2 linked regions of the Drosophila melanogaster genome follow. Changing the gene in region 1 together with any one later gene gives a genetic interaction. Each region holds a gene or a part of one and is shown on either strand. Other genes may lie near its edges.

Region 1 (4,834 bases):
GGACGAGCTCTTCGAATTTTCCGAGCACATTGCCTCCGTAAAGAATAAATCTACAATAAAAGACAAAAGATTACTTACCATAAAGAAGTGAAGACAAGGGCGAGGGGCGAAATTTATGGTTATTCATAACAAGATTACTAAATGACGACACAAACGGTCCTGATGTGATGGTAAAATAAAACGACCAGGGACAAAAACTTACTCTCCACCGCGCACGGCATCTACTTTGGCAGGTGCCCTCGTAAAGGCAGTGACCATTTCTGGCTTTGTGAGAGCGTTGTAAAGGTCATTGGCGCTGCAGTGAAATTCTTCGGTCATCGAGAGAGTGCGAACGTCCAGTTTACAGCCGATGCCAGAGTTCTTCAGCCTAGGAGCCGCCACCGAGGAGTTTAAAGCGATATTTTGGGCTGCATTACGGGTATTGTTGGCATCCTTAAAATTCGCCACAGTATTTCCCGCTCCGGCCTCGTCGCCCTTCTTTGGTAGGATAAGGTTCTTGGAGTACTCCTCCTTCAACTCTCGGATGTAGGAAGCCAGTTGCTGCCGCACGCGGTCTCGTCCCACGTTGTACATGAACTGTTTCAGGGTCTCCGACTCGTCGTTGGACTCGTCGATTGTCACCGTGATCTCTACGTCGGCTAGTTCGTTCTCCTCGGAGAGATTGGGAATGGTTAACTTGCCCTTGTGGATCAGCTTGCTGTTCTTTAGGAGCTTTCCAGACCACTTGAGCACCAGCTCCCACTCGTAGAAAAATATGAGCTTGCCCTTGCGATTGTTCACGGTGGCCTCCCCGGAGCATTTGTCCACGGAGTCCACGGCACACTCAATGTCGCTTTGCCCTGCGTTTTGAGAAGTTTACTTTTAGGTTAGGATATACCTAAAATGTATGTTCTACACTACTACAAATTCTTATATACTCGCCTATTTTGAAATCCTGAAAAAGCTGATGCAGGCGGTCCTTGGACCATGGCGTGGCGTTCTTTTCCGTCCAGTGCCAGTTGTTCACGTTGGTGGCGTCGGGCCGCTCCTCCACAATCCAGCGCGGATCTCCTTCTCCCCACTTGGCCATCGCTTTCTTACTGTAGAATTGTATGAAACTGTCTTCAATTTTATGAAAAGATGGAAGATGTTGGTTTACTTTTGATCCGGCAGTCTTAGCTTAAACTAATTCGGACAATTACTATGGCCAGCGAGTGGAATTTTCTAGAATTCTGCGGTTCAAAATAGGGATGTAAAAATTATCGATGCCAGTGCACACATATGTTGGCAGCGTTGCCACCAAGTCCGAGGTGTTTGTGCCGTTAAAAAAACGAAATGATGTGTAAATTTCCTGACGATATTTTAAATGGAGTTATGACGAAAGACGTATTCGTTCAGTGAATTTTTTAACAGATTTAAAATGGACAGTAAGTATTGGTGGTATTGTATTTTTTTATAACAAGGTTGTTTTAATGTTATATTTTTATGTACGTCCAAAACTTTAAGTTTATGTTTTTAACTTGTAACAAACAATTTTCGAAATGGTAATAGCCGATTCCCGCAAATCACACCATAATGGATGTAACAAAGTTGTTTTACAGCTTTTCAAGCTATTTGTCTTGAAATAGATAAGGTCTGCTCTAATCTCTGAAAAAGTGTACCCCTAAAAATATTTAATGTATTGTTGCAAGTAAATAATTAGCCCTAATTTTTTTAGTTCTACTGATTAAAAAGTTCTTACGTTTGGTTACAAGATGCAGTGGCATCAGGATATTTTAAAAGTGGCCACACAGAGCTCGCGTAACACCCAGCTTAAGTCAGCATGCACTTGTTATTTTTCAGTTGTTTACTCAACCGATAGCTGAATTCAGCACATCCCTAGTGGAGAGCTGAAAGAAAATGGCGATAGAATTTTTTTGGTGTTGATTTGTTTATTATCCGTTCGTCTTTGATTGTTCAATGAAAAGCCTTAAAAATTAGCCAACTGCTGGTGAAAAATGTACAACTAGAGTGTGTGTCGTGTGCGCGAGAGTGTGTGTAGTAGCTCAGTAGCTCCGCGATGATTAGCGCAATGGACAATTTCGACAACAGATCGTACGGTGCCATATCAAAGGGGCGCAGTGAATTCTCAATGCCAGGTAAACAGCAGATACTTTTGCTGGCCCGAAGGATATAGCCTAGCATGAACAGAATACGAATCTTTGTATTGATAAAATTTTATTAAGATCACAAATTGGGATACCCACAACTACAAAATAAGAGAAGCAACAAGCAACATTTGTATGTATAGACTTGTGTGCTAGGTGAAATGTTAGTGCACATATGTATGTATATTATGTACATATGTACATTGCGTTCTCGTTTTTGGCCTTCGTCAGAATTAAGTCCGAAGAGCTTTGGTAACGCTAATAAGCCAATTTGCACAATTAGCAATCCATTGTGGTTTCGACAAGTGAAAATTGTTTATCGGCCTAAGCTAGTGACGTAGCCTACAAGATGCTTTCATCGCATCGCAAACAGCTCGTGTATGCACGTGTGTATGTGTGTTGGGCGCGTGTGCCTGGAATGCTGCTCTGGTGTTTTTTATTTTTACTGTTGGTGTTGCGATACAATTTACAAAATGCCCAGAAACAAGTATATGAATTTATTATTGATTCGCATCTCGTTCTTGCAGAACTTACACCGGAGCAGCAAAAACTGCTGATTGAGCTGCGACGCAAGAAGCAGGAACTTTTACTCGAAATACAGGTAATTGACCATCAATATATACATACATTTTTAATTTTGGAAACAACGATTTAAGAACATATTCGTATACACTTGTAGTATACAGAAAAACAATTTCGTGATGTCTTTTTGTCTGGAGTTTTTGCCAGCTTCTTTTTAGGTGATTTGACAGAGAGGGAGCAAAGACACTAGACTTATTCCAGAGCCTTTGTAGGGAGGGCTTGACGGGCTCTGAATTTTTTTATATGAACGATTAATCTTAAAATATATAAATTTTAATAAACCGATAATAAAAATGATGGTAAAATTATTGTTGGTGCTAAGAATTAATTTAGCAAATAATCGAAAGTAAATATCCCAAAAAAAAATACAATAAAAACATTAAGAAGAGAGATAGTGGGCAAGAGAGTCGATTTTTATGTTGTTGAGTAGCATATGTGCATTTATATGTATTTATAAAATTTTATGAATACCTATAAGCCAGACCAATTTGGTTTTTTTTTCTACTTAGGTTGTTTTTTAACTCCTTAATGCGGGAAGATTTGTGATCTGGCGGCTAGTGGCAAGTTTAGCTATTTATGTTCGTGTTGCGATCGTGACTAGTTTTCACTTTGTTAAGACTTCTTTATGTTCAACAACTTTTTTAAAAGAAATATATATTTTAGTGCTCATATCATATCATACCTGAATACAATGACCATGGTTTTAACCCGCACGATCTACGATTGAAATAAAGCATTTGAAAATGAGTTGTTAAACGCCATATAGGCTTTCTCTGGTGTCTTTCTATAAAAAAAATCCAAAAATACTTGCTAGGATTTTAATATTTTTTGTGGTTAAAATTACCACTCACCAGCCCCATTACAAGTGATAATTTTGGTAGTGTATTTAAAGTCTTGTCAAGACATAATGTTTCAATTACCAAATCTGAATTTGAACTGAATTATTCACTCGAATTCCGAATATACAAATAAAATAAAAAGAAAATGTTTGTTCAGTCGAAACAAACTGTCCCTCCGGAATTCCCTCAGAATATTCAAGTCATCGCTCCTGTGACGATCGGTTCACCAGAATAGTAAAACTGCTGTCTTCCAACAGCGAACTGGAGATTTTTTCGCGTGCTGTAATTGTGGTTCTTCGAGTCGTGATCTAAAGTGAACGAATTTTTATTTATTGGATTTTTAACAATTGCCGTTTTGTCATTGTGCTGATATGTGCAAATGCTTGTATCGTTAGATTGTGAGAAAACGCAAAGGTGAGTGTGCTAAAAAGTCAATTATAAATTTGTGTGTGGTACGATACTACCAATTTAATTATCAATTGTTAAAATAAACGTTTGCTGAAATTAATAAAAATATTAATATTTTGCTAGTACAAGTCCTAGTTAAAGGGCTTTTATTTATTGATAACTTTAATTTAAAAAATGTATCTACCTTAATAATGTTGAACTACTTTTAGTGTAAGGATCATGTGTTGTTATCGGTCAAAATTTTCGTATGCACATCTGCACCGAAATGGAAATCTCATATTTTTTCTGATTCCCCCGAATTTCCGTTGCTTTTTTTTCCTAACTATCGGGCTTTATTATGTCTACCTGGATATGCAATTGACACATCGTCCCCTACCTTTCACTCTTCTGTTCCCCGACTACCTGGAGTTATAATTTTTAGCTCAGCGCAAAATTACCTATTTTTTTATAGAATTTATAGAATGGATATTTAAAACCAGACAGAAGAATAATAAAAGTATTTAAACCCCTTAATCGTAGAGTAAAAGGACATACTAAAGCAAGTATATTGTACTACATATATGTAAAGTATATACAACTGTGCATGTTTCAATGATATGTATATAGACATATATTTTAAAGAATTTATGCCATTAAAACTGGTTTTATCCCATTTAAAATAATTGGTATATTTGTAATCAAAGGCTTTAAACTAATGGATTGCAATGATATGTTTGGTGTTTACACTTTGAATGCGTCGTTTGTGTGCACAGAAATTTCGAAAGAAAAATACGCAAATGTCTTCTTCACTGCGTTGCGGTCTTCTGACTGAAATCAACAAAAATCACAATTCTGTATATTTTTTTTATGTTTATTATTGTATTTACTATTATTTTTGTA
Region 2 (4,638 bases), about 21 Mb from region 1:
CACTTCCAGCTCGAGGCCTTCATCCGCCTCCTCTTCTTCTTCATCACCCGAATCAACGTCTTGATTTTCTTCCTGCTGCTCCTCATCTTGGTTATCAGCTTCCTCCTGATCCTCGCCTTCTTCGACATCTGAAAATTTTTCATCGGAGCTAGACGAATGTTCATCGTCGCTGCATTCCTCTTCACTGACGGGTTCTATATAAGGAAAAGCATTCTCGTAGTGCTCATCGAAGTAATCGTAGGCGTGGCACAACTCGTTGGAGTAACCAGAGATGGCTGCATTCACTTGGGAGACCAGGGAATCACGCTGGTTCTGCAAGAATATTATTTTTAGCATAAATCGGAAAAAGATATCTCAAGCAACGAACCTTTTTCAGTCTCGACAGCACTTTAGCCAGAGCAGATTCCGCCGTTTCCTCCTTCAGCCATGTGAGGATGACCTGTATGCGCTTCTGCTGGAGCTTTAGTTTGCGACTTCGTCCTGCTTTGCCCATTCCCGCAGCAAAAAAGTTCTTGAAGGCACTGCGGGCAATATAGTCATTGCCCAGGAGGGCGGCAAAAAGGGGTAGCTTCTCGGGACTCAGAGTTCCTCGTCCGCAGAGATGGGACACCCGGTAGATGCAGCAGTCGAGGTACTTGTAGGTCTTGGAACTGCCTTTTGTACTGGCTGTCAGCCCTGTGGTTTGAATGCCAGTCACAATCTTGTTGGCCCTGGTGCGCTTCTTCACATTCTTGGCCTCGCAGTGACGTAGATCTCGACTGTCCTTCTGGTTGCTGCTGTTCTTGTCCTTCACCTGCTTGGTGAGAACCTGGGGTACATGGAATCGCTTAGTATATGCTGGAATCCAAATAACTTATGCCTTACCTTAACAGTCAGCGTGATCAGCGGGATGTACTTGACGTTGTGGATGTAGAAATCCGAGTCGTAGGAGAGCACTGGGCAGTTAAGTTTCCTGGCCAGAGCAGCCAACTCGTCGTCCGCCTCAAAGACGCACCTCATCACCGGGACTCCGCAGTCGCGCACAGCGTCCACGAAAACCTCCTTGAGGTGCAGCGGGAACAGCGTGATGGATGCATTGGGGTTTATCTTCTTGATCACGGAAATCTTGTTGCGCAGCCGGGTGCTAACGGTCCTCAGCTTGCGCTCCTCGTACCCGCCGTCCATGAGCACATAGGGCCGAATGTTGCACTCGGCCAGAACCTGGAAGAACTGCACCACGGCGCGGTAGAAGTCGTCGTAGTCGCCGCCGAAGGCGGAGTAGCTCCCGGTGACATCCTTGTACAGATTGCAGCTCAAGTTGTCGCCATCGATGACCAGCGCCGTGGAGTGCAGCTCGTGCGGCTTAAGGTAGATCTCCGCGCGCTGCGCTATGTAACTGGTCAGGCCGCGGACTCCCATTTTCCCGGCGCTTGCCTATTTTCCCAATTTTCTATTTACCTATTTTGCACAAACTTTAAAAGCGTGCTAATAGTGATGTCAGTTTGCAGTGCGATACTATCGATGTACATATCGATTCTTTAGCGTGGCCGTTCGCTGCCGTTTGGTATATATGAGCGATTAGTTTGGTATCTAGGGTATTTCCCGCAGCCGGATGGTATATTCCGGGGATGGCGCCGCGGTCACACTCTGTCCCGACAATTCCAACCCGACGCTTGTCTGCTCTCCACCCGCGCATCAAACGTCGAAAAATCGTAACGTCGCGAGTGCTACGCGGTGGCCAGGAGAAAAATTCGCCAGCAATAGCAACACTTGTACCGAAAATCTAAAGGAAACTGGGAAATGTACTAGCACAAACACAGCGAGTGCAGTGGAAACCGAAATCGCCATTGAATCGAAGAGCGCGTGCATATATACGGGTTCCGTTGGTTCCGTTCCGTTTCTTGTCGCTTTTCTTGCACACACTTTACCACTTTACCTTTGCGTCTCTCGTTTCGTGCGTGCGTGTGTGTGTGCGCGGAGTGTGGTGTGCGTGCGTGTGTGTTGTTTTTGTGTGTTCGTTTAACTAAAGCACAGGTAGAAGGAAAAGCAGCGGAAAAAAGAAAACCATGGGCGAAATATGCATATGAAATTAAGTAAATACAAGGCGACAGCAGCAGAAAACATCCAGTAGCAACGAGAAACAACAACAACAATAACACACGTTAATAACTCAGCTTTGTGCGTCTTTCGTCTGCGCTTCACATAGTATTATTTTTCTCTTGGATTTTCCACACAAAAACACCATGAGTGAGCGAGCGAGAGCGACGATCGTGATCACCGTGTCGTGAATGAATTTTTGTCAGTGTGTGCGAGGCGTGCTCTACGCACACACACACGTACGTAAACAACACAACCACACACGGCCCATCATCGATCACCAATCACCTGTGTGTGTGTGTGCGGCATTTAATAAATAATTGTGTGCAAATAAATGTTCCAAAAGGAAATTGTTAAGCCAAACCAGCAAAAAACGTAAATCAACCGTGCGATAATTCGTCCTAGAGTTGAAAAAAAAAGACGGTTCAAAAGCAAGTGCGTGTGTGCAGAGTTCTTCTGGTGTCTTGGGAGCTTCGTTTTACGGATACGAAACATATATAACTTCCCTCTTTGCCGAAAAAGGTGAGTTCAAAATCAGGGAAAAATCCCTTTCCCATTGGCCAAGGCCGTTCCGGGAAATCTGCGAGTGGTCTTGGCCCACGTTTCCTGTCTTCCGCACATTTTCACACGTCCTGCAATTGCAATTTTTTCCGATTTCCCAACTCTGCACCTCCTGTATGTTCGGCGATTCCCACGCCTCTTTTTTTCGGGGCAGGTATTCGCAGGTAGCGGAAAGAGGAAAAACCCTCGGGAAAGCCGATAAACTAGAGAAAACCTCTGTTGGTGGGCCGAAAAAACCAGAAAAAATAGAAGAATTGAAATGTTTTCCCTGGCTGCTGAAACAGAGAAAATCGGGCGAAATTAGGCACCCGCTGATTCCAGAAAATTGCTCGTATAATAGAAACATCTCACTGGGGGAGAAATAAATTATCGTTATTATCATCTGCAGTTGCAATTTGGCACAATTTCGATATGACTGTGCTCCCATTTGCCCGGCGATTATGTAATTTTCGCCGCTGTGCTCGAGAATCAGGTTCATTTTCCATATGAAAAAGGGGGCTTTGCTGCAGACATTGCATATATGCCGACGATCTGGCGACCACCGACAGTTGCCAGCAATTTCCGGCGCTTTTTGGCAACTGGAAATCGAGCACAAAAGTTCATCCCAGGGCTTAGAGAGCCGCAAAAGGCGTAGCCATCCATATTCACCCCATCCCAAACGCATTTCCCAATGTGGTTTATAGTTTTCCTACAGCTGTTGCGACTGCGATTTTAACGATTTTTACTGGTAATCCGGGGAGGAAGTGAAGTTCATAGCGGTTCGACCAGTTGATACCTCTTAATAAACTGTTTGTAGGGCATTTCTGAAAAGGAAATATTCCAAAGCGAGATTTGGTTAGTCTCAATCCTTAGAACAGCATTGCTCACTTCCTTACACAAGTGCATACTACCCTCGCATACCCTGTAATCAGTGGGCACCATAAAAAGAGTTTGAATTTCAAATAAAATCCACTCTCCGGCACACACACAAGTCCACTGGGGAGCAGCTGCTGTGTGTCTCTTTGTGCTTGGTCTCAAATGACACTTGCCAGCGCTGCTGCTGCATATAATTCCGAGTTCTGGGGAATTTCCTAGTAGGAAGTGCAGGGGCCACAGCGAAAACACCAGCAAGAGTCGCACTTGATGATTGTCTTGCCACGGCTATTGCCGTCCCACTCTGGAAACGTAAATAGAGAGGCCCGATAAAGAGCGGTCTCGAACTTCCCCCAGTTGTGTTGCCTCTAACCCAACTGAAACTGAGTGGAATCGAGGTTTTCTGGCGGCATAAAATTTGATAGCAATTAAGATATTTGTTAGAACTGTTTCTAATGTCACATGTGCTGCGTGTAGGAGTCTCATCCTGCACTATCTTGTTTTTCGCACTTGCCCCGTTCCCATTTCCCGGCTGGTACTCCAGTTACTTGCCGCAATTGACCAATTAAACAATTGTCTTTGATTAAATGTGCAAATTTGTCTAATGTTCTGCACTGCGCGTATGTGCAAAGCGGATGTGCCCGCTTAAAGCTGCGCTTAAATTGCCCGCGTAATTTGTCACTGATCTCACTTTCTCAATTGGCGATCTCTGATTTCTGAGATTCCTGATCTCTGCCTGGCCAATTAGGCGTCATTATGCGGCAGGCAAGAAGGCACCGTTAGATGGAGCCATTGCAACAGTGGCCAGAATAATAACAGCGACTAGGAAATAATGGCTAATGGCCTATACCTTTGCCCATCTAATGCTTCTTGACCTACAAGCCTCCACAGGCCTCTCGCGTTTCCTGCCCGCTTTCATTTACTGTTAATTATTGTTTAGAAAAGCGCGGGGGCGGGGGCCAATAATAATAAGAAGAAGAAAAAGCAGCAGCATTGGCCAATAAAAGCTTGCAAACAATTTCGAATTTCCAAATGGTTTGAAATGCAGCCCAGCTGGCAACAGAGGAAAAGAGGCAGCCAAATCAACCGAAAGGCAACACGGGGCCATAACAACAATCTTGCTCGCACATTCATAATAGGCGAAACAGA

Evidence for each region. A genetic interaction does not mean that the proteins touch.
Region 2: of step (region 1) and S, changing one enhances a phenotype caused by changing the other (phenotypic enhancement), as found in Drosophila melanogaster (one study listed by BioGRID).

What each region holds. Positions count from the first base shown.
Region 1 is NT_033779.5:21,754,447-21,759,280, reverse strand, and holds the start of step (steppke), read left to right. Parts: upstream 1-1,814; 5' UTR 1,815-2,038; coding exon of another isoform or gene 2,039-2,117; intron 2,118-2,653; coding exon of another isoform or gene 2,654-2,727; intron 2,728-4,834. Other genes in the region: CG1416 (uncharacterized protein), read right to left, coding at 1-50, 203-839, 922-1,069.
Region 2 is NT_033779.5:1,074,795-1,079,432, reverse strand, and holds the start of S (star), read left to right. Parts: upstream 1-1,617; 5' UTR 1,618-2,598; intron 2,599-4,638. Other genes in the region: ast (asteroid), read right to left, coding at 1-312, 368-808, 865-1,398.